Nothobranchius furzeri: one gene and its partner. The protein of the gene in region 1 purifies or fractionates together with the protein of each later gene. This does not show direct contact. Links are inferred from orthologs where the notes say so. Each region holds a gene or a part of one and is shown on either strand. Other genes may lie near its edges. The genes, in order: dtl and cops6.

What was found.
Region 2: the proteins of dtl (region 1) and cops6 purify together in Homo sapiens (affinity purification with mass spectrometry; 4 studies listed by BioGRID and IntAct, with this or other methods). This does not show direct contact. The link is inferred for Nothobranchius furzeri from reciprocal best matches to the Homo sapiens genes DTL and COPS6.

What each region holds. Positions count from the first base shown.
Region 1 is NC_091742.1:7,891,687-7,908,266, forward strand, and holds the end of dtl (denticleless protein homolog), read left to right. Parts: 5' UTR 1-84; coding exon 85-145; intron 146-1,112; coding exon 1,113-1,250; intron 1,251-1,330; coding exon 1,331-1,423; intron 1,424-1,498; coding exon 1,499-1,560; intron 1,561-1,679; coding exon 1,680-1,800; intron 1,801-6,080; coding exon 6,081-6,146; intron 6,147-6,248; coding exon 6,249-6,364; intron 6,365-6,429; coding exon 6,430-6,503; intron 6,504-6,572; coding exon 6,573-6,679; intron 6,680-6,767; coding exon 6,768-6,872; intron 6,873-9,034; coding exon 9,035-9,147; intron 9,148-9,248; coding exon 9,249-9,338; intron 9,339-9,496; coding exon 9,497-9,620; intron 9,621-9,781; coding exon 9,782-10,395; intron 10,396-10,620; coding exon 10,621-10,701; 3' UTR 10,702-11,303; downstream 11,304-16,580. Other genes in the region: ppp2r5a (serine/threonine-protein phosphatase 2A 56 kDa regulatory subunit alpha isoform), read left to right, coding at 12,292-12,439. UniProt on the Homo sapiens protein: Substrate-specific adapter of a DCX (DDB1-CUL4-X-box) E3 ubiquitin-protein ligase complex required for cell cycle control, DNA damage response and translesion DNA synthesis.
Region 2 is NC_091741.1:79,987,571-79,991,623, reverse strand, and holds the start of cops6 (COP9 signalosome complex subunit 6), read left to right. Parts: upstream 1-1,253; 5' UTR 1,254-1,337; coding exon of another isoform or gene 1,338-1,438; exon of another isoform or gene 1,439-1,741; intron 1,742-1,817; 5' UTR 1,818-1,847; coding exon 1,848-1,890; intron 1,891-2,967; coding exon 2,968-3,093; intron 3,094-3,261; coding exon 3,262-3,393; intron 3,394-3,557; coding exon 3,558-3,646; intron 3,647-4,053. Other genes in the region: F-box/LRR-repeat protein 12, read right to left, coding at 1-622, 1,126-1,201, 1,338-1,438. UniProt on the Homo sapiens protein: Component of the COP9 signalosome complex (CSN), a complex involved in various cellular and developmental processes.

The DNA of each region.
Region 1 (16,580 bases):
ATCAGCAGCTACAGACAAGAGGAGACCCCCAGTTCACGATCTGACCAACTTCTAAGTGTTTCTTTCAGATCGTCTCTGTACTGGATGATGGGAGTGCTTTTCCGTTCTGTTGTTGACAGAGAAGTGGGTCGACGGAGGCAAAATGGTGAGCCACGATGCGCTTAGGGGACTTTGAGATCTGTAACTGCTGGTAGCTTTTAGCTTGATAGGGAAAAAAAATCAACCTTTGTGTTTGGCATAGAAAAATCTATATAGCTGTTTAATCTTAGATGGCTGTCTCGTTCTGGTTCTTTATCTTTGAGAGAAGAAATGTTCAAAAAGCCAACTGAAATCAGCATATGACGTAAATGCTACGTCATCCTGCGGTTTCTTTAGTATTTTCAAACATTTTATGCCAGCACAATTTAATAATTATTCCCTAACTAAACTTTTATTTAGCTGAGCTTTAACATTATCTGTGATCACCATCAAAATAACCAGCAAAGAGTGAAATAGCTAAAAATCCTTTTTTTGTGTTTCTTTGTGTTCGTTCTCGGTGTTTTTTATGTTTATGCATTATACTATTATACAAGGCGACTTACAGAGGTGAAATAGCAAGGTGTGTGAAGTGTGCTGCCTAAAGGCAGTTTGGAGTGAGCAGGAATCAAACCGGTACCACTCCCATTGCAGATCTTTTTGATCACTGCATTTATATACGTTGGCTTTTCACATACCTTAAAAGGGCAGGTACAGCCTTTAGCTCCAGGTATGGATGTAATTTTCACTTTAGAAGTGGGGGGATCTTTACAGTATGCTCTAATGGGAAACAGGCTTCAACACAAACGGTTGTTTTCCGCTTAGTCCTAGAGCTCAACCAGTGTCAATTTAATATAGCGTAATATTGTTTTTGGATGGTAAAAAGTGCAGGGGTCAAAACTTGACATGTCCCCCCCCCCAAAAAAAAAATTACGTCCATGGCTCCAGGCTCCCTCTCTCATACAATAAACAAATAAAAAGGGTACAAACAGAAAAATTTAACTACATTTCTGAGGAATATACAGTCCAAAGTTCATTTAGGAGTCAGCGTTCATGAATCCGATTGCTCTGATTTACCATGGTTTCCATCTGTGCAGCTCTCCATGCAGACTCCTGCTCCAGAATCCCCCTCAGCTTCCTGCTGGGAGGCTACCAGTGTGCCCGACAAGATGAGCACATCTCTTATGGGAACATGGGCGACTCCATGCCACCGTTTGGATTGACCTTCTCCTCCAGTAATCTATTTGCATGATGTGAAAATACTGGAATACGGCAATGTTCCCTTATTTTTAAAACTAAATGCATCTCCTTTTAGGTGCTGAGCTGCAAAATATTCTTGCAGCAGCGAATGAAGAAGGGATTGTTCGGATCTACAACACAGAGAGCCAGGAAAACCCTCTTCTTAAAGGTACTTGAACATCGCTCCATAATTACTTCTGTGTGTGTACAGATGATGTTTTCTAACTGAATGTGAACTTTACAGAATGGCTAGCTCATGAGAATGCTGTCTTTGACATTGCATGGGTGCCAGGAGAGCCTCAGCTGGTATAAATGCTATAATTTCAACTACTTATTCAAGCTCTGTGTAACAGAACTTAGTTTTTTTTAAAATAATTTATTCTAATACCAGTGAATCTTTTTCTAACATGTTCTGCCTTCATCAGGTGACTGCTGCTGGTGACCAGATGGCCAGGCTGTGGGATGTGAAGTCTGGGGAGCTTTTAGGGAGTTTCAAAGGTCACCTCTGCAGCCTCAAGTCTGTTGCATTTGCTCCGGGGGAAAAAGGTAGATTTTACACAAATGCTGCGCTGTGGTGTTGAGTCCAGCTCTGGGCTGCTTTCACGTTTCTGTGGATCATTCTGAAGAAATGTATGCATAATGTTTTAGAATGAATTCATTTTATAGTTGTTGTTTTGTTTCTGATATCAGAAAAATCAGACTCCAGGAGTAAATATTTACCTGTCACCTTTTCAGCGTTTAATCTTGACGGTCATTGTTATTAAACGAGATGAGCTGAAAATATTAAAGAAAGAAAGAAAATGATCTTTTCTATAGCGCCTCTCAAGATAAAATCACGATTTTAGAAAATAATTAAAAATGTGTTTTGAATAAGCAAAAAACGACAACTGTGATGAGAGAGAGAGAGAGAGAGAGAGAGAGAGAGAGAGAGAGAGAGAGAGAGAGAGAGAGAGAGAGAGAGAGAGAGAGAGAGAGAGAGAGAGAGAGAGAGAGAGAGAGAGAGAGAGAGAGAGAGAGAGAGAGAGAGAGAGAGAGAGAGAGAGAGAGAGAGAGAGAGAGAGAGAGAGAGAGAGAGAGAGAGAGAGAGAGAGAGAGAGAGAGAGAGAGAGAGAGAGAGAGAGAGAGAGAGAGAGAGAGAGAGAGAGAGAGAGAGAGAGAGAGAGAGAGAGAGAGAGAGAGAGAGAGAGAGAGAGAGAGAGAGAGAGATGTGTGTCATGTTACCATGGAAACCACTCTGTAGGTGATGCAGAAAGGGCTTGTCCTGAATTGTCTATACATCAACTTTGCACTGATCATTTCAGGTGTATCACATTCTTCGCTTTAGTTGAGGAAAATATTTATTCAAAATAAATGAGTGTGTGTGTGTGTGTGTGTGTGGGGGGGGGGGGGCAAATTAAATGGCCCAAGATCTGTTGCATAATTTTATTTTATTGTTGTTTTTAAACATTAATTGTCAACAACAGATGGTGCAATCTACAGCTCACTACTGTGAAAAAGCATGTCTGAAAATGAAGCCGAGACTTCATCAGTGTTGTCGTGGTAGTAGTATACATTCCAGCATCATCTCCTGCTCACTCTGCATGTGATGTCATCAGCACAGTTGTTGCTACGTTACAGACATAACCCCCAAAAGCATCTGTGGTATTATCTGGATATTTTCACCATGCTTCTCTCTGCTGCACTGCCAAGATTTCAGCAGCATGTCCGCTTCTCCACCAGAGGAAAAAAACCCGCTGGATTTGCTATTTGCCAACGTCGAGGATGCATCCAGCTCCTGGCATCGTGGATCCTTATCTTGTCTTTCTCTGCCCTTTGTGCAACACCCCTTGTCTAGAGTCAACCTGTGACCAGAGGAACTGTGAGGAGATGATCACAGGGAGATTTTGAGGATTATATGGCACTTCTCAAGAAAAAAAATCACAAGATTAAAAAAATCATAAAATTAGGAGAAGTACAAAGTTTGTGATGAAAAAATGTGAGGAAAAGGAAAACGAATAAGTAAGTGATCAGTGGATCCCGGGAAAGGCAGAATTGATGGAGCTGAATGAGGAGAAGGTAGTGATGAAGAATCAACCAAAGGTCAAGAACAGTGAGGTGCCACCCCAACAACAAACCCTGGGTCAAATGTGAACTGAAAGAACTCTAAAAGAAGAACCTTAAGGGAGGGAGACATGGAATCATTGTGGAGTAAAGAGTAAATCAAAGTGTAGATATGAATTGATGAGGAGTTCCCAAGCTGAAGCTTGAATGAACTTGGCTCGTTCTTTAAAAGCTTCAGTTCAGCGCTCTCCTCTCTGGTCCCCAGCCAAACGCATCTACTGTCCCTTCGTCCAGATTCCCAACACACCTCAACCGTTTTATCTTCCAGCTGCTGCGGTTTCCTCATCATTGTCAACCACATCAGGAAAGGCTCCGTTTGCCTCCTTCCTGGCACCTGTCTGTCTTCTGCAGTTCGATGAAGAGGCAAATGGAGACACTAAACTTGATTAAAGCTGCATAACCAGATGGTTTCAAATCCAAAGTCCTCAAGGAACGGCCGAAGCACCTATGTGGGATTGGTCAACCTTAGCCTGACCCAGGTGAAGGTTCCATTGCTCTGGAAGAAGCCCTGCCTAAGAAATCTCCATCTGTTGCAGTAACATCATACATCATTATCATCATGCAGCTGTAGTTGAAGACATCATCACACACTTCCAACGATCAAAGCGAGTGGCACTGTGGGTTATGTTCTTTGACTTTTCCAGAACACAATCCAGGCTGATTTTAATATGAAAGAAACTTGAGAAGACACAGTTGGACACCTCCACAACCCCTGGATCAGTGACTACAGACCTTGGTGTGAGACCGAAATGTTGTCTGAACGAGTTGTCGGGAGCACCCAGGGGGACTCTGCTCCTCATTTGTTGAAGTTGTTTTGAAGAACTGGGAATATGTCAATAATCCCAGCTGTACTGGGCATTGCACTGGTCTGTCGTGGTAAAGAGAGAGCTGAGCCGCAAAGCAAAGCTCCCGGTTTACCGCTCAGTCTTGTTTATGTTTACGTATTTAGCAGACACCTTTTGTCCAAAGTGACTTACAAGCGATAATGAAGCCAGCAGGTTGCCCTTGAGGCTAACAATAAATACTAATCAATCAATCCTAGGTGGCAGTGAGACAGCATAATGAATCACAAAGGGAAGTGAATAAGGATGGACAGTAGAGTGGAGGACGGGTGTTGGGAGGGTGCTAGTTTGGAAGATGTTCTCAGAAAATCTGGATCTTCAGGAATTTCTTTAAAACCAAAAGGATTGTTCTGGTAGTGCTTGGCAGGGCATTCCACATCTGTGGAACGACACATGAAGAGTCTGGATTGTCCTGAGCGTGACGACCATTCGATGACCAGAGCAGCCGGGCCACGACGTACACCTTTATAAGAGGATTCTAGTAGATGGGAGCCGTACCATCCAGGACTTCGTATGCTACCGTTAGCAATTTGAATCTGATGTGTGCAGCTAACGGTAGCCAATGGAGGGGTGACGTGCTCTTCAAGCTTTGGGTAGTGACCAAAAGAACGAGATTGTGGATACAAGTGGCCAAACTGAGTTTTCTCTGCACGGTGTCTGGGCTCTCTTAGAGATGGGGCGAGAAGCTTGGTTTACCGGGAGGGGCTCGGAGTAGAGCCACTGCTCCTCCACATCAAGAGAAGCCAGTTGAGATACATTTTAGCTCATCACCACCAGTGTGTGAATTGATGAATGTTACACTGTAATGTAAAGCACTTTTAATTCCTCTGACTCTGAAAGGCGCTCTACAAGTGCGGGTCATTTATCGTGTCTCTCGGCTGGCCAGGGAATGTCGTGGGATTCCTCGGAGGAGCTGGCCCAAGTGGCTGGGGAGAGGGAAGTCTGGACGTCTCTGCTCAGGCTGCTGCCCCCATGACCCGACCACGGATAAGCAAAAGATGATGGATGTATTATGTCAAACCCTGGTTCCATTGTGGAAGAAGATATGGAGGGATATTGGTGTTCTACTGAACAGCAATTTCTATTGGAGACTCAACAGCAAAGCTGTAAGAAAGGGCAGAGCAGGCGCGACATCTTTAGTATTTGCAGAAAGATATGTTCTCAGTGGTCTAGTGGAAGAGTGTCCTCCCTGGAACTGGGAGATTGCGGTTCAAATCCCGGTCTGGTCATACAAACGCCTCCCTGCTAAGGGGTTGGATTGGGGGTTAAACCACCAAATAGTTCCTGAGCGCAGCCACCGCTGCAGCTCACCACATCCCATGGGATGGGTCAAATGCGGAGATGAATTTCACCAGTGTGTGAGGACCAATGAGGCTTTAACTTTGAAGGTCTGTCGTGTAGCGCGTAATCTCCTCTATTATCCATTCATGTAGCTTCTTGGTGACCGATAACATCCATGCCTTTTCGTCACTTATTTCAAATACAAAGATAACGTCTACAGATGGAAATGCGGAGGTGTCCTGGTTCTTTTCTTTGTGGCTATTGTCTACGTGTAGGAAGTGGAGAGTAGCATGAATGTTCTACACCGGCGAAACCGCAGCTACACAAAAGGATGGCCTATTGCAGAAGAGCCAACTCATCAGGTCAAGACTCAGCAGTTTACCTACATCAAGGACAGACATTAGTGTAGAGTGTCTAGAGCTGATTGGACAAAAGAAGACAGATCACAAAGTGAAGGACATGAAGGATCCTCTTCGCAAGTCTTTCAGTAAAATTGTGTCTTCAGTTGGTGATTCCCTCAGATTCGTTACAGAAGATCTTGTGAAGAAACGTCGATAGTTCCTACAACATCCAATAATTGTTGCATTTTCTTCTGACAAACAGCTGTTTTCTGCACTGGAGGAAGAGATGGAAATATTATGGTCTGGGACATAAGGTGCAGCCAAAAAGGTTAGGAACTTCTGCTGCAAATGCTTCAGTTGTTGGCAAGTAAATGCATTTGGGTGATTAATGTTCTTGGTGTGTTTCTCGTGATTTGTGTCTCGTTCTCAGATGGCTTTTACAAGCAGGTCAAACAGATCAGCGGCGCTCACAACAAAGCAGAGTTGCATCCTCCTCCTAAGTGGAAGAAGAGACGGAGCAGCATACGTGGGATGGCTCCGAGTGTGGTGAGTTTCTGAATTATCTTTTTTTTCCCTGGTACGACAAAAATCTCTTATCTTTGTTTTCCCAGGATACTCAGCAGAGTGTGACTGTGGTTTTGTTTCGGGATCAACACACACTCATCTCTTCAGGAGCTGTTGATGGGTAAACGCACAACTCTTCAGCTCGTCAAAATAAAATTGACCATAAAAATGACCCCACCCACCCTTTCAGAGTAATAAAAATGTGGGATCTGAGGAAGAGCTACAGCCCATGTCGCCACGATCCCGTTCCTCTGCAGACTTATCCATACTCTGGCACCTGCACACGCATGCGTCTGGGTCGGTCCTGCTCTGTAAAGATCAACATATTAATAATATATAAATATATATCCAAAAGACTCCAAATGAACTGAAATTAATGTTGCAGGTTATTCCGGACTCGTTCTGGACTCCTCGAGATCCAACGTCATGTGCAATTGCACAGATGACAACATCTACATGTTTAACGTGTGTGGGATTAAAACATCACCAGGTAACAAGGACAGGTTTTATATCTTTGGCACAGAGACCGTTTTCTCCTTACTGCTTTTAAATCACTAGATGGTGCTAAGGGTTTGTGCTTTTACTTTGGCGGGGAGCAGAGCACCAGAAGGGAGAAGTTGAGATGCTTTTTAGTTGTTTTTTTTTTTGGAAACTTAAATCTTCAGATCTTGTCACAACAAGAAAGAAAAGAAAGAAAGAAAAAATATCATTTCTATAGCGCCTCTCAAGATAAAAATCACGAGGAGCTTCACAAAAACCAATAACAAAAAATATAAAAATTGTAAAAATATAAAAAAGCATTTCAAAAATGTTCAAAAATATATTTAAAATGAGCAAGAATAAGCAATTGCGATTTAAAAGAAAAAATGTTAAGAAAGAGAGAGAGAGTGAACAGGAAAGAGGGAAATCAGTGGATCCTGAGGAAGGTGGAATAGATGGGGAGAGCAGAATAAAGAGAGAGTGGTGAAGAAGGTCATACAAAAGCCAGCTTGAACAAGTGAGTCTTCAGCTGCTTTTTGAAGGAGTCCACTGAGTCCACTGATCTCAGGCTCAGGGGGAGAGAGTTCCAGAGTCTGGGGGCCACAGCAGCAAATGATCTGTCACCTTTGGTCTTTAGCCTGGTGCTGCACAACCAGTAGGCTTTGATCACTGGACCTCAGGGACCTGCTGGGGGTGTAGGGACTAAGAAGATCATCAATGTAAGATGGTGCTTGTCCATGTAAGGCCCTATAGACCAGAACCAGGATCTTGAAATGAACCCCGAAGTTGACTGGCAGCCAGTGAAGCTGGAGGAGAAGCGGAGTGATGTGGGTGTGTTTGGAGGACATGGTCAGAAGCCGAGCACAGGCATTCTGAACCAGCTGTAGACGGTTCAGGGAGGTTCTGCTCAGACACGTGAAAAGAGAGTTAAAGTAGTCTAAGTGTGAGGAGATGAAGGTGTGGATAACTGTCTCAAGTTCAGAGGAGGACAGAATGGGACTCAGCTTAGCAATGTTCCTGAGATGGAAGAAGGAAGAGCGAACAAGAGAACTGACATGAGAATCCAGGGTGAGAGCTGGGTCAAAGGTCACGCCAAGATTCCTGACGGAACGTTTGGTGTGAGAAGCAAGCTGACCAAGAGAGTCTCTGACTTTGGGAACCAGCTTGTCTGGGGCACAGATGAGGTTCTCAGTCTTATCTTCATTCAGCTGAAGAAAGCTTCCAGCCATCCAGGTTTTCGTAGAGTCTAAGCAGGTGTGTAACAGCTGCAGCTTAGACATCTCATGGGGCTTAAAGGAGATGTACAGTTGGATGTCATCTGCATAAAGATGGTAGGAGATTACTTTGAAGGAGCTCAGGATGCGCTGAAGAGGAAGCAGATAGAGGAGGAAGAGCAGAGGCCCCAGCACAGAACCTTGTGGGACACCATGGGTAAGAGAGGTGGTGGAGGACCTAAACTTGGAGACGGCCACAGAAAAGGAGCGCTCAGAGAGATAAGAGGAGAACCACTCCAGAGCAGATCCTGATAGGCCTACCCAGTCTCTCAGCCTCTCCAGTAGCAGGTGATGGTCAACAGTGTCAAAGGCTGCAGTCAGGTCCAGCAGGACCAGAACAGAACAGTCCCCTGCATTTATAACAAATAAATAAATTTAATAAAATAATAAAAAAATTAATAAAATGTTCTCTTACATTTGTCTGATTGGCGGAGGGCCAATAACATGCTTCGGACCAAAAGCAACCATAGGACCATCCAGTTGTCAGAACCACCACACTTTCCTGGGTTCTCCATTCTTTACGCACTGACGTATTTAGCAACAGAACACCACTGGTGTGAGAGGTTCTCCACTCAATAATATCAGAAAAGGAGAAACAGCCGGCTGCTACCACTTCAACTTTTAGACAATCTACCAAAGTTCTGAAAATATAAACACCATTTGAAATCACAGACAACAAAAGACGTTTGGACCTAGAAAACAGCGACTGGTGTTTAGCAATATCTCGTTTTGTCCATCGTAGTGGGTTTCCAGTTCCAGCAGAAGAGCCTTAGGGAAGATACTCGAGGGGAGGGATGAGTGTTTCGTGACTGTGTTTGAGGTTGAAGCCTAGCTTGTTGTGTAGATTTGTTATAGCGGCTTTAATGCCTGAAGTTCTGAATCACGTTTGCTCACACAGTGGCAGTTTTCAGTGGACACCAGAACTCCTCGTTTTATGTGAAGTCCACCATCAGCCCCAACGACCAGTTCCTGGCCAGTGGCTCGAGTGACAACAACGTTCACATCTGGAAGGTACCGCCTTACGCCAGCGCCTAAATCTTTTTTTTTTTTTTCTCTCCTCGTGTTGATTCTATCAAAGAGCAGAGCATAAAAACTACTTGATAACATTTCAGATTTCTGATCCTCAACGTCCTCCCATGACGCTTCAGGGTCACAGCGAGGAAGTGACATCTGTCGCTTGGTGTCCAACGGATTTTGCCAAAGTATGTTTTTAAACCTCAGGGTGATGAACCAGAATGTAATGTTTTAATACAAAATTTCTTAACCAAGAATGTTTATTTTTTCACATTTGAACTGTTTTGATTGATTATTTTTATGTTTTAAAAAGTTACTTTTTTTACCCCCTCTGCTCTGTTGACAGATTGCTTCCTGCTCCGATGATCACACTGTCCGGATATGGAGACTTCACAGGGAAACTGATGATCCACAGTCATCGGTGGGGGAGGCCAACCTTGTAGGCTGGGCACGACCTAAACTTCCCACCAGTACGTACTTGTTGTTTATCTGTGGCGACCATATTGAATTAGTTCTAGATGAAAATCCAGTTATCACTTTCTGAGCAACACCGGCAAAAACATTAAAGCTGCACTACATGATTGAGTAGGCTAATGGTTTGAGCTGAACTGGTGTGACTTTTGCTGTTCAGGTCTTTCACTCAGACCTGAAACGACGCCTTTGAAAGACTGGGAAGTGAGGAGTCTTTCTGGTCTCCCCTCACCTCTGCTTGCTGCCTGTGCCCCCAGTGGAGCCGATCTGCCTCTCCCCTCCAACACCACATCACCCATCCGTTCTAAGCCGCCTGCTGCTCATCACAGAGCGTCCTCCATTGAAAAGTGGCTTTCTCCAACCCACGAGTCTCCAGGTCAGGTCCCTTTTCTTCCTTCAAGCCCAGAGAGTAGCACCTCTTCAGATCAGCCCCGAACCAAACGGAAGCTGGAAACCGATGAACAGTCATCTCAGCACTGTGAGGACGCCAACCAGCGTGACTGTGAAACTGGACTCTACCCCACGGCCAAGAGAAGCCGCGTCCAGTCTGAAGTCTGTCGCCCAGTTCAGGAGAACTCAGGACAAACAGACTGTCGCACAGATAAAGGCAAACAAGATTCCTTCAGACAGGCTGGAAAGGAGAACCGCTTTCCCAGAGCGACTAACTGGCTGTCAGAAATGAGCCAAAAGATGAAGAATAGTCCTGAAAGTCCTGCTGCTCTCAGGAAGCCCAGTTACTTTAAAAGACCAGATGGAAAAGCACAGACTTCACCAGTAAGTCCACGGCTCCCTGGTTTAGGAGCAGATTCACCTTTTTACACAAATGATCAGCATGTCCGCCTTTTACTTCAACTGTAGTTCCACGAAAATAGAATTATTTGCATTCACGACTTTTTCTGTTTGTCGGGGGGAAAAAATCATGTTTTTGTGTTTTTAATCTAAAGATTTAAACTCTTATAACGAGTATCATGCCTGACTTTTCCTCTTTTGTTGTTCCAGATTCGAGTTGACTCGAGTTGGTTAAAGACCATGAAGAAAATCTCTGTGTATTTTGAAAAAAGGAGTCTGAATGAGAGCTGAACGAGGGAAGGATTTAGCTTAGGGGATATTTCAAACCAAGTTTGCACAGCCTAAGAAGCATGTTTGATTTTGTTTAGATATTTAGAAATTAGCGTTTTAAAAATATTTTTATGATTGTTGTTTTAACTGAACTTAGGTTGTGATGTTGCCTGTTACCCAATTTTCTGGTTCTTCACAGAAATTCTGTTTCTATGTTCATATGTAAATCTACCAATTTACTTCAATTTAAAAACATCAATAGATGCTTTAGGTTTTGATAAAAGGTCAGATTTTTTGTAACATTTAACTGTGGGTGAGGGTTATCTTTTTGTTTCATTTATATAATATAGCCCATGTGCTGACTTGCATTTAAAAACAAATTAATCAAAAATCAGCTCTATAGTTAAAAAAATGTCTTAATTTTTGTTATATTTCTCATACATGGATTTCTTGTTTGTATTTCATTCATTTTATGCAGACATTTTTATTTAAATTTTTTTTGCTCTTGAGGACATGTGCCTGTTTAGCTGTTTACATGTACAAATAAGAAAAAAATGTATTTGTATTTTATCATCACACGTTTGTTGGATTCAAATGTTCATATATTAAACTTGTTTCAAATGTTGGTGTTTAATTTTATATTTTGTTTATTAAAAGGTGGTGGGACATTTTATTGTTTTAAACTCATATATTATATATTTTTAAAATATATAAATATCGATGAATGATAAATTATTAATATAATATATATATATATATATATATATATATATATATATATATATATATTTTTTTTTTTTTTTCACTTATTTGGTAATTCTATCTGACGTTTCGAACTGTTTTCATTCTTCTGATTGGTTAAAAAAGTAAGTCTCAACTTCTGATTGGCTGTCAGAAACGTCAAACGTAAACCTGTCGTCAGTCCACCGACTGCACAGGCGGAAAACACGGGAGCGTTCATGGCTGCCTGATCGACTCAGTTGTGTGTGGGGGGTATTTTTTTTCGTCTTTTTCGAGGCCGTGAAACCGGAACCGACGCTCTTCAGTCCGCGAGGAATGCAGCAAAGCAAACAGTCGCTTTAAGCGGGTAACTTTAGGCTAAACGAGTCGGTGAAGCAAGAATAGCTCTTAGCGACACTCGGCGGAAGTCTGAAGGATTAAATCCGGGGCTTGAAGTGGAGTTGGGGGTTTAAAACTGCGCTTTTTGCTACTTTACGCCAATTTCAGAAAACTTTTTTCAGATGGCAATATATCATGCATGTTTTGCAACAGGTAGACCCATCGCAAACATGATGAAACACAAACATTTGGCCGCTTAGTAGTGTTACGCGGTTAACTTTGGATCGTAGAGCTTTCGGTGTGTTGATCTGGCTTTTCTTTGATATTTAGTTTGCGTTTAAAACTGGTTACAATTGAGACACCTCAATTATGCAGGTTATGCAGGTGAACGACTCGGTCTAGCCCCGGAGTGCGCACCGAAAATGTTGGATGAGACGGACACTTCGCTCCAGAATCTGATGCTGATGTGAAGAGGAGGCGGAAACCCCCACGATCACCTAACCTACGATCAGCTCCTCGTCTGCGATCATCTTCGTGAGTTTATGCACCAAAATGTCGGCCATCACTGCATCCGAGAAGGTGGATGGCTTCACGAGGAAGTCCATGAGGAAGGCGCAGAAACAGAGAAAATCCCAGGGCTCGTCCCAGTACCGAAGTCAGAGCTCCGTGGTGGAGCTCTCCCCGCTGCCGCAGCTCAAAGGTACGGTGAGAGGGTGCAGGTCTGCCGCTTTAATGGTCCCGAGTGCCTGCTCTCTCTGTGCAAACTACATAGTTCTGTTTTTCTTGGCTAAAGTCTTAATCTTGTGGGTGCAAATCTAATGTTCAACATTTTACAGAATATTTAGAGTTTTCTGTGGCCACGTTTGTCATTTGTAATTGTATTTTATGTTACTTGGAGTTATTTCAGAAAGGCATGGGTCTGATCATAATGAGTGAGTTCACATTTGGGCTGTGCCGATTCTGGATTTAAAGGCCAATACCGAGCTCTGATTTTACTGCAGCACTGTCCTGATTTACCTCAAGGAACTAAAATAAACAGAATCTCTTCCACTTGGAAGATTTGATCACAGATTTCAGTCGTTGTTGATTAGCTCAGGAGGTAGAGCGGGTTGCCTAGTGATCAGAAGACTGCAGGATCGATCACGGGTCCTGTCAGGGTATTCTGCTGTTGTCTTTCTGGGCAAGACCCTTAACTTGCCTATGTTGGTGATAGTCAGAGGAGCTGCAGTCTTGCCTCTGTTAGACCACCACAAGGCAGCTGTGGCTACATAGTAGCTTACCATCATTGGCAGAGTCAGTGTTTGAGTGTGTGAATAATAGAAAGCACTGAGTGCCTAGATTATTGGCCAATTCTGATCACTGGTCAATTTGATTTTGGTGCACAACGTGCTTTTACTCATCAAGATGATCTATCTGAAAGTTTCCATTTAAATCATAACAATTCAAAGGGAGATGCAGCATCTAGAGCAGGGGTACTCGAATATAAGTGGCCAAGGGCCTCACTAAAGAATTCCTATGATGTTGAGGGCCATACCGGGAGGGAAGGAGGGGTAGTGGTGGTGGTCCAGGTACCACAAAGAGGTGGGGTTCACGGGCCGGACCTGGCCCACGAGCCGCCTATTGGGTAGGCTGCTACATGGCTATGTGTTGCAGGTAGAAACTATAGAAACAGACACACCAGGTTGTTCATTTGTGTGTGTAATTTCACATGTTTTCATAAACACTGGTGTTATGCATTTTAAAGGTCTCGTTGACTGGGAAACATTGTAATGATTCTTTTTGTAATAAAATCGCTCATTCTCAGTTGAATAAGCATGCTAAACATGAAAATGTTCAACTTTCATCACTTGCGTTAGCCGCAGAAAGGAAATGGATGGGGAAACCATCAAGCCAGTCTCTTCTACGTTACAGGGAAGACTTGTTTTCCCGGTCTACGGTATTGATTTTGTTACCAGAGTGCGTCTTTACTAGTAGAAGCTAACCATTAGCATTAGCAACTCCACAACACGGAGGAGCAAGTTTAGGCTTGTTAGTTGTGGAGATGAAATTAACGAATTTTTTTACACAAGGAAAAACACTGCAAATGAAGGCAGTGAAAGTGTTGTTTTGCTGTTAGCCAGTCAGGAAGAGATATCTGATTCAAATTCTATTCAATTCAAAAATACTTTATTAATCCCAGAGGGAAATAGATTTGATTGATGTCCTGTCATTTTCTGCCCTCCCACCCAAAGCAAATTCATTTAAAAAAAGAGAACATGAGAACTTTAAAGTGTATCTCAACTACAATTCTTTTATTATTTTTTTCGCGCCACTCTCCTGACAGGTCGTTTTGCTTCATTCTTGGACAGTGATCTGTGTTTGAGATTCGCTACAATATGTTGACAGACACGTATGTTTGTTTTAGCTGTTTGTCTTTGCAAGTGCATCAATAACGTGACAAATCGAAGCATGCATGCTGATACCAGACACCTTTGTCGCGTCTGTCGGTTAGCTTCCTCTAGCGTCTAGTCACACCAGTCCTGCTGTTGACTACATATATTTGTTTCAATCAACATTGAGGGTTTTTACACCGTTTGCTTTTGTCACTATACCACTGAAGAGCAGCAGGTTGTACACAAGTCTTGCCTTGAAGAGGATTGGAGATGATCCACCGTAGTCAGAGCTATAATTTAGCGAGTTTCTCTCCACTTTAAGTTTGACAAGCTGCAACAGCTTGAGAAATATTTTGATGCTGAAGGGGCCGAGCAAAGCTGGAGTGAAGGGAACTTGTTCTGTCAGGTTGCTGACGCTTTCTAACATGACTCAACTATCGAGGTTTTGAAAAACCAAACGTGTCTCAAAGAATTTTGTGTTTTGATTTTCTGCTGTCGTGCGTGAAAGAACGTCTGCAATGTGGTTGCATGATTAAAAGAGGAAATTAGCACTGAACTTGAAATGGGAGCGATGATTTAAAAAAAAAACTCAAAAGGTTTTACGTGACCTACCTTTGGAAATGAAAGGAAGTTGGTTTTCAGAGTCAGTTTCTGCTCGTTAAGCAACAATAGACAGCTGCAGCTTATTTATTTTTATTTATTTAACCCTCATTTAGCCCGATGAGCCGATTGAGAACACATTCTCATTTACGACGATGATCTGGCCAAGAGGCAGCAGCAACAGACTCATAGTTAGCTTTACATAAAGAAAAACATAGAAGATAAAAATTAGATGAAACAGACATAAAGACAAAGGACTGTTATTCAATTCAAATTCAATTCAAAAATACTTTATTAATCCCAGAGGGAAATTGATTATGAGCTTGACCATCCCTTATTGCAGTCATAATTGGAAAAAGGTCCTCCGATGAGAAGCGAAACGTCTTAAAGAAACCAAAGAAGTCTAGTTGCCTTCATTCGAACCCTTATGGATCGGTTTTGATGTATTTATTGGTAATTATTCAGCAAACAGGTTTTGCAGCGTTTTGTTTTTCTCCTTAAGTTGATTGTGAACAACTCTCCCAAATCTTACTTTTATGTTTAAAAGCCAGTTTAAAATTTTCATAAAGCGTTAAACTTTTAATAAAACCACTACAAGGAGCTCTGTCGGTCGATCTACGTCCCAACCCTCACGAGCTTTGGGTAATGACCGAATGAATGAGATTGTGGATACAAGCGGCCAAAATTAGTTTTCTTTGCAGGGTGTCTGAGAAGCTCGGTCATCCGGGAGGGGCTCGGTCCACTGCTCCACCACATCGAGAGGAACCAGTTGAGGTGGCTCTGGCATCTGGTTTGAAAAACCTCCCAAGGAAGGCATGCAGGAGGTATTCTGGCATGTCGAACTGAGAGGAGACCTAAGGGAAGACCCAGGACACGCTGGAGGGACAATGTCTCTTGGCTGGTCAGGGAACAACTTGGGATTCCCCCAAAGGAGCTGGCCCCAAGTGGCTGGGGACTCTACGTTTAGGCTGCTGCAGCCCCCGCAACCTGACCCCGGATCAGCGGAGGGCAATGGATGGAACTAAAAGGAGACGAGTTCTGCACTTTCACAGGATTTTGGACATAACAGTCTGCAGGTCCACTGAATTTCTGCAGAAGAAATGTTATTTATGGTGTTCTTTGTCTTTTTTTAAAGGGACTTTACGGAGTTTTGAATTTTTATGCTCGCGATTGCCCCCTCAGGCCAAAAGCGTAACGGCAGCTTCAATAGTAGGCTCGTGCACGAGGTGCGCATGCTGTACGTGCACACTCCTTAACGAAAGTAACAGCTGAGACAGTCGTGTGTGTGTGTGGCCCGGAGGACAGAGGACAGGTGAACGCGCAGCTAATTAATTAAATAATTTGGTTCTGTACCTTTCTCTTCAGCACAGCCGACAAAGGTTTATGATGGGTCAGTCCTCCTGCATGCTCAGATCATTCCCTTCCCTTGCTTGAAAAATTGTTCCAAAATGAAAGTTGAACCCACATCTTCTTTACCTGTGAATTCAATGCCGTTCAGAGAGTCTCAAATAAAAATTTGGGCATCTTACTGTAAAAAAATATACCATTAATGTAAAAAAGAAACTTGATAAACTATATTCACTTCTAGAATCGAACCCGTGTCTTCTGCACATAAGTCCGAGGTCTTACTAGGTGAGCTAAAGCGCCAGTAACATCTTTTGTATCTGTAACATTTATATCCTTGATGACAGTTGAAACAACGTTCAAAGAACGGTTCGGAGCGAAAATGGCTATTTTGTTGCTAATTTGCAGGAAATATCTAGAAGAAAGTAGCTAAGGGTCCTCAGAAATGTAGCTAGGTTCATCACTAGGCGTTAGGAACAGCGACTAAGTGGCACTACCTCACTCTCTGCTGCTAAAGCTACGGAT
Region 2 (4,053 bases), on another chromosome or scaffold:
AGGCCATCTGTAACTGGTATCCTTGTCGTCCCGTAATTCCTATTTCAAGAAATTTCAGCCGTGAGAGCCCTTCTACCCCCGAGAGACCATCCTTGGCTGCACAATTTCGAAGCCCATTAGCTGTTATACGAAAAGTGTCACGCAACTCCAGTTGACTTAGCCTCTGCCACGATGTTAGACTCTGCAGATGCTGGTCTGTGAAAGAGGGCACATTGTTGAGGATTAACTTCTCAATACAAACTCCCAGAGGAGAGCCAAGCCCTGTTCCTTTCTGATCCCTTCCTTGATGAGGAGCACTAGAAGTGGCTTCTGCTTTGCCAGGGGGATGAGTGGCTGAATTAGAAGAGCTTTGGTTGAAAAAACCCCGAGGCAACTCACAACCACGCAGCTCCAGCACTCTCAAAGTTCGAGGGAAAACCAGGCAGTTAGGTAGACTTCTCAGGTCTGTATGCAGAAGGTAGAGCTTACTCAGACGGGGACATCTTGTGGACAAAGCTTTGAGCCAAGACTCAGAGAGAAAGGTGCCGCCTCGGGCTGACAGCAGCAAACCTCGCAAGCGAAGGCATCTTAGTCCACAACCAAGGTACTGACGCAGCAGGACCCAAAGGATGCGGGATGTCACCTGACACAGTGGATAGTGTGTGTGTGTGTGTGTGTGTGTGTGTGTGTGTGTGTGTGTGTGTGTGTGTGTGTGTGTGTGATGGGGAAAAGGAGAAAATAACTGTTAATAACTATGCAAACAAACACATTTTTCTTTAGGTTAAAATACACACGTATCACTGACTGGTTCATTATGGGTAAATAAGTTGATTTTATTCATGAGAAAGTTCCTCTTTTACTTTGGTGTTGCATCTAAAACCATCAAGTGACTTTACAAACGCAAAACTTTGTGTTTACCGTTTCTGTACATATTTATGAAAAAGCGTATAATTTAGTCATTCAGACAAAACATTAAAAATAACTTCCTTCTGACACAGGTGTTACTGGAACAGATATTTTATGTCTAAAACCTAATGCAACATTGTTTGTAACTCGCAGGTGTTACTTTATTGTGATTATTTTCATAAAGAATAAACATCAGATAAATAAAACGTTAAAGCCACACAGTGTGCTGACAATTCTTACCCCCTTCCATGAGGTCAAGTCGACAGTTTTCCACAGTCTTTGGTCTTTAACAAGGCGTTTCCATCTTTTGCACACCCTAAAAAAAAGAGGAAAACAATGGCAGCAACACAGAGCAAACTCACTTACACCACCGGATGAGTCATAACAAAGAAAAAGCCTGGCGCTGAGTTTTTGGCATACAAGCAAAATTTCAGCTGGAATACAGGTCTTACCTTCCAGCTCTGACAAGCTCTTTGACGCTCAGGTATGACAAAACATCTATCAAAATGTTCTCGGGAAAGTAGTCCAGATTACAGGCTTTAAATTCGTCCATTTCGTTAAAAAAAAAAAAAAAAAACTCGTAAAGCTTCCACACGGACTAATATCCTGACGCACACGGGTTGCGCCCAAATCAGTAATCCCCAGGAAACGGCTACTCGTTGACTGTATGATGCTGTATGACCTAGACGTTGGATTAAAGAACATACAATATTATAAATTCCTTCGGATAGTTGTGTCTCCGTCGATATTTTCTTTCTTTTGATAACACTTGACAAATTTCTGACAAAGGTCGAGCTCCACACCTTGTTTTGAAACAGCCTGAAATGCAGTTTGTTGCCACCTAACGTTCGTTAGCTGAACAGCCCTCCTGCGCCTGCGCGTTGAATAGATGTTGCACCGAATTGTGTGACCATGGTATATTGTGACTCCAGGAGGCGCTGTTGCCTCACACACCGGACAAGATGGCGACCAGCGATGGTGGAGGAATGGAAGTGGATGGGGCAGGCGAGTATTTATTTCTTATTTCACCATTTAAGTCTGACATCAGCATAGATGGATGTACGATTCCCTTACATGCTGTACAGTTTGGGTGTGAATGACCCCAAGTTAAGACTTAGTGTCATTAAAGGCTGCTGCTGACATAAGTGGGTTAACGTGCACTGCTCAGTCTGTAGTCATGACTCTGGATGTTACCGTCGCTCCTTTTCTGTTCTTTGACTGGAGTCTGGATGACTTGTGTGAATATAAATTTATATACACTAATTGTTTTTTGAAAATACTATTTTATGTATTCTGTTCAAATTACAGCACAGCATATTAGAGGAGCACACGAGGGACGTTGTGTACACCTGATTTCCATTGCTCTGTCACGTCATTTTGGCAAAAACAAACTACAGTTCAGTTGCTTCCCTTATTTTCGCCCACCTATGGCTTCACTACTAAGTTTATTTCAATTCGGCTTTGTTATTTCTGTGTGATGATGCAAACCTAACTCTAACCAGTTATATTTATCCTGGCTGCTGCCTAGCTTGGCCAGGTCTCCCTTGAAAAAGAGGTTGTTAATCTCAGTGGGATCTTCTTGGTTCAATAAATACATCAAACATTGGCCATATAAACAAAAACATCTGCTTGTTTATTGTTGTTTGTCTGGGTTGGTATCTGGGTATGATATTGCTGTGGTTAATGTGATTGACACTTTCTCAGCATCTAAAAAAAACTGATTCACCCATAGTGCTGCAGCAGTTAGCGCCATACCACAGAGACAACTCTTTAAAAGGAGAATTGAGAGCATTACATTTAATTAGTCCAATTTCTGATTTAGTGGAGACATCCTTCAGCTGATTATCTGATAAATGAGACATACGAGGGATTCTTTGGGATCTGCCTTATTGGAGTTAAAATATTATTTTTATACATAATAAAACTTCAAATATTTGCTGTTTGTTAAAATGCAACCTCCTTTTTCCCAAAACCAGTCATTTGTTTTACAGTTTTTGTTTGTTTTCGAGTAAAGAGCTTTATGTTACATGTTGCTGGTGTCCAGTTAAAGCTTATTTTACATCTGTGTCCACGTGTCTGTAGTGGGCCCTAGTGTCATGGCCTCGGGAGTCACCGGGAGCGTTTCTGTGGCCTTGCACCCTCTGGTCATCCTCAACATATCAGACCACTGGATACGCATCCGCTCCCAGGAAGGGCGACCGATGCAGGGTATGTGTCTCTTTCTCACCTGTTTGTTCTTAAAGAAAAAAAAACTGCTTCCAGGGAGAAACAAACCCTGCAGTTATCAAAGCTTTGACTTAGATTCTCTGTAATTAAAATGCAGTAACGTTTAATGCCATAATAATAAGTGTTGTTCATCATGTGTTCTCCTTTCAGTGATCGGGGCTCTGATCGGAAAACAGGAGGGTAGAAACATCGAGGTGATGAACTCCTTTGAACTTATGTCTCACACCATAGATGACAAAGTGCACATTGACAAGGAGTACTACTACACCAAGGAGGAACAGTGTAAGCATGTTTAAACATAACACGTTTGACAGGTGTAAAGTGTTCTTATGGGGTGATTTTAATAAGACAATAATGAAATGTGTTCAGTTTTAAACTTTGTAAATCAAGTTCCTCTTCTTTTTTTTTTTTTCAAAATGATTGTTAACTTTCATTTTGTCTTTCAGTTAAACAGGTCTTCAAAGAAATGGAGTTTTTGGGCTGGTACACCACAGGTGGCCCCCCCGACCAGTCAGACATCCACATTCACAAACAGGTAGAAACACTCTGACGTCCGTGTGATCTTAGCTGGAAGGAGATAAAAGACAAAGTTAAAAAATGACCATAAAAGCAAACATGACCTCGTTCAGCAGTGTGAAACTTTATTTTTTCCAAAAATTGTCTTAAAATCCTTCAAATTGTGGCTTGAGTTATGTTCAGTTCTATTCAGTTTATCTATATAGCAAAAAATCATGACATGAGTTGTCTCTCAAGCCCACACTGTAAACATTTCAATAATAATAATAATACATTTTATTTCAAGCGCCTTTCAAAGCTCTCAAGGTCACTGTACAAGACAAAATATAACAAGCAAGCAATACAAACAACAAGAAATAAATGCTAAGAGTAATTCCCAAGGGTAGAGTCGGAGCAGTGCAATGGATAATAGACTAAAAAGAGTAG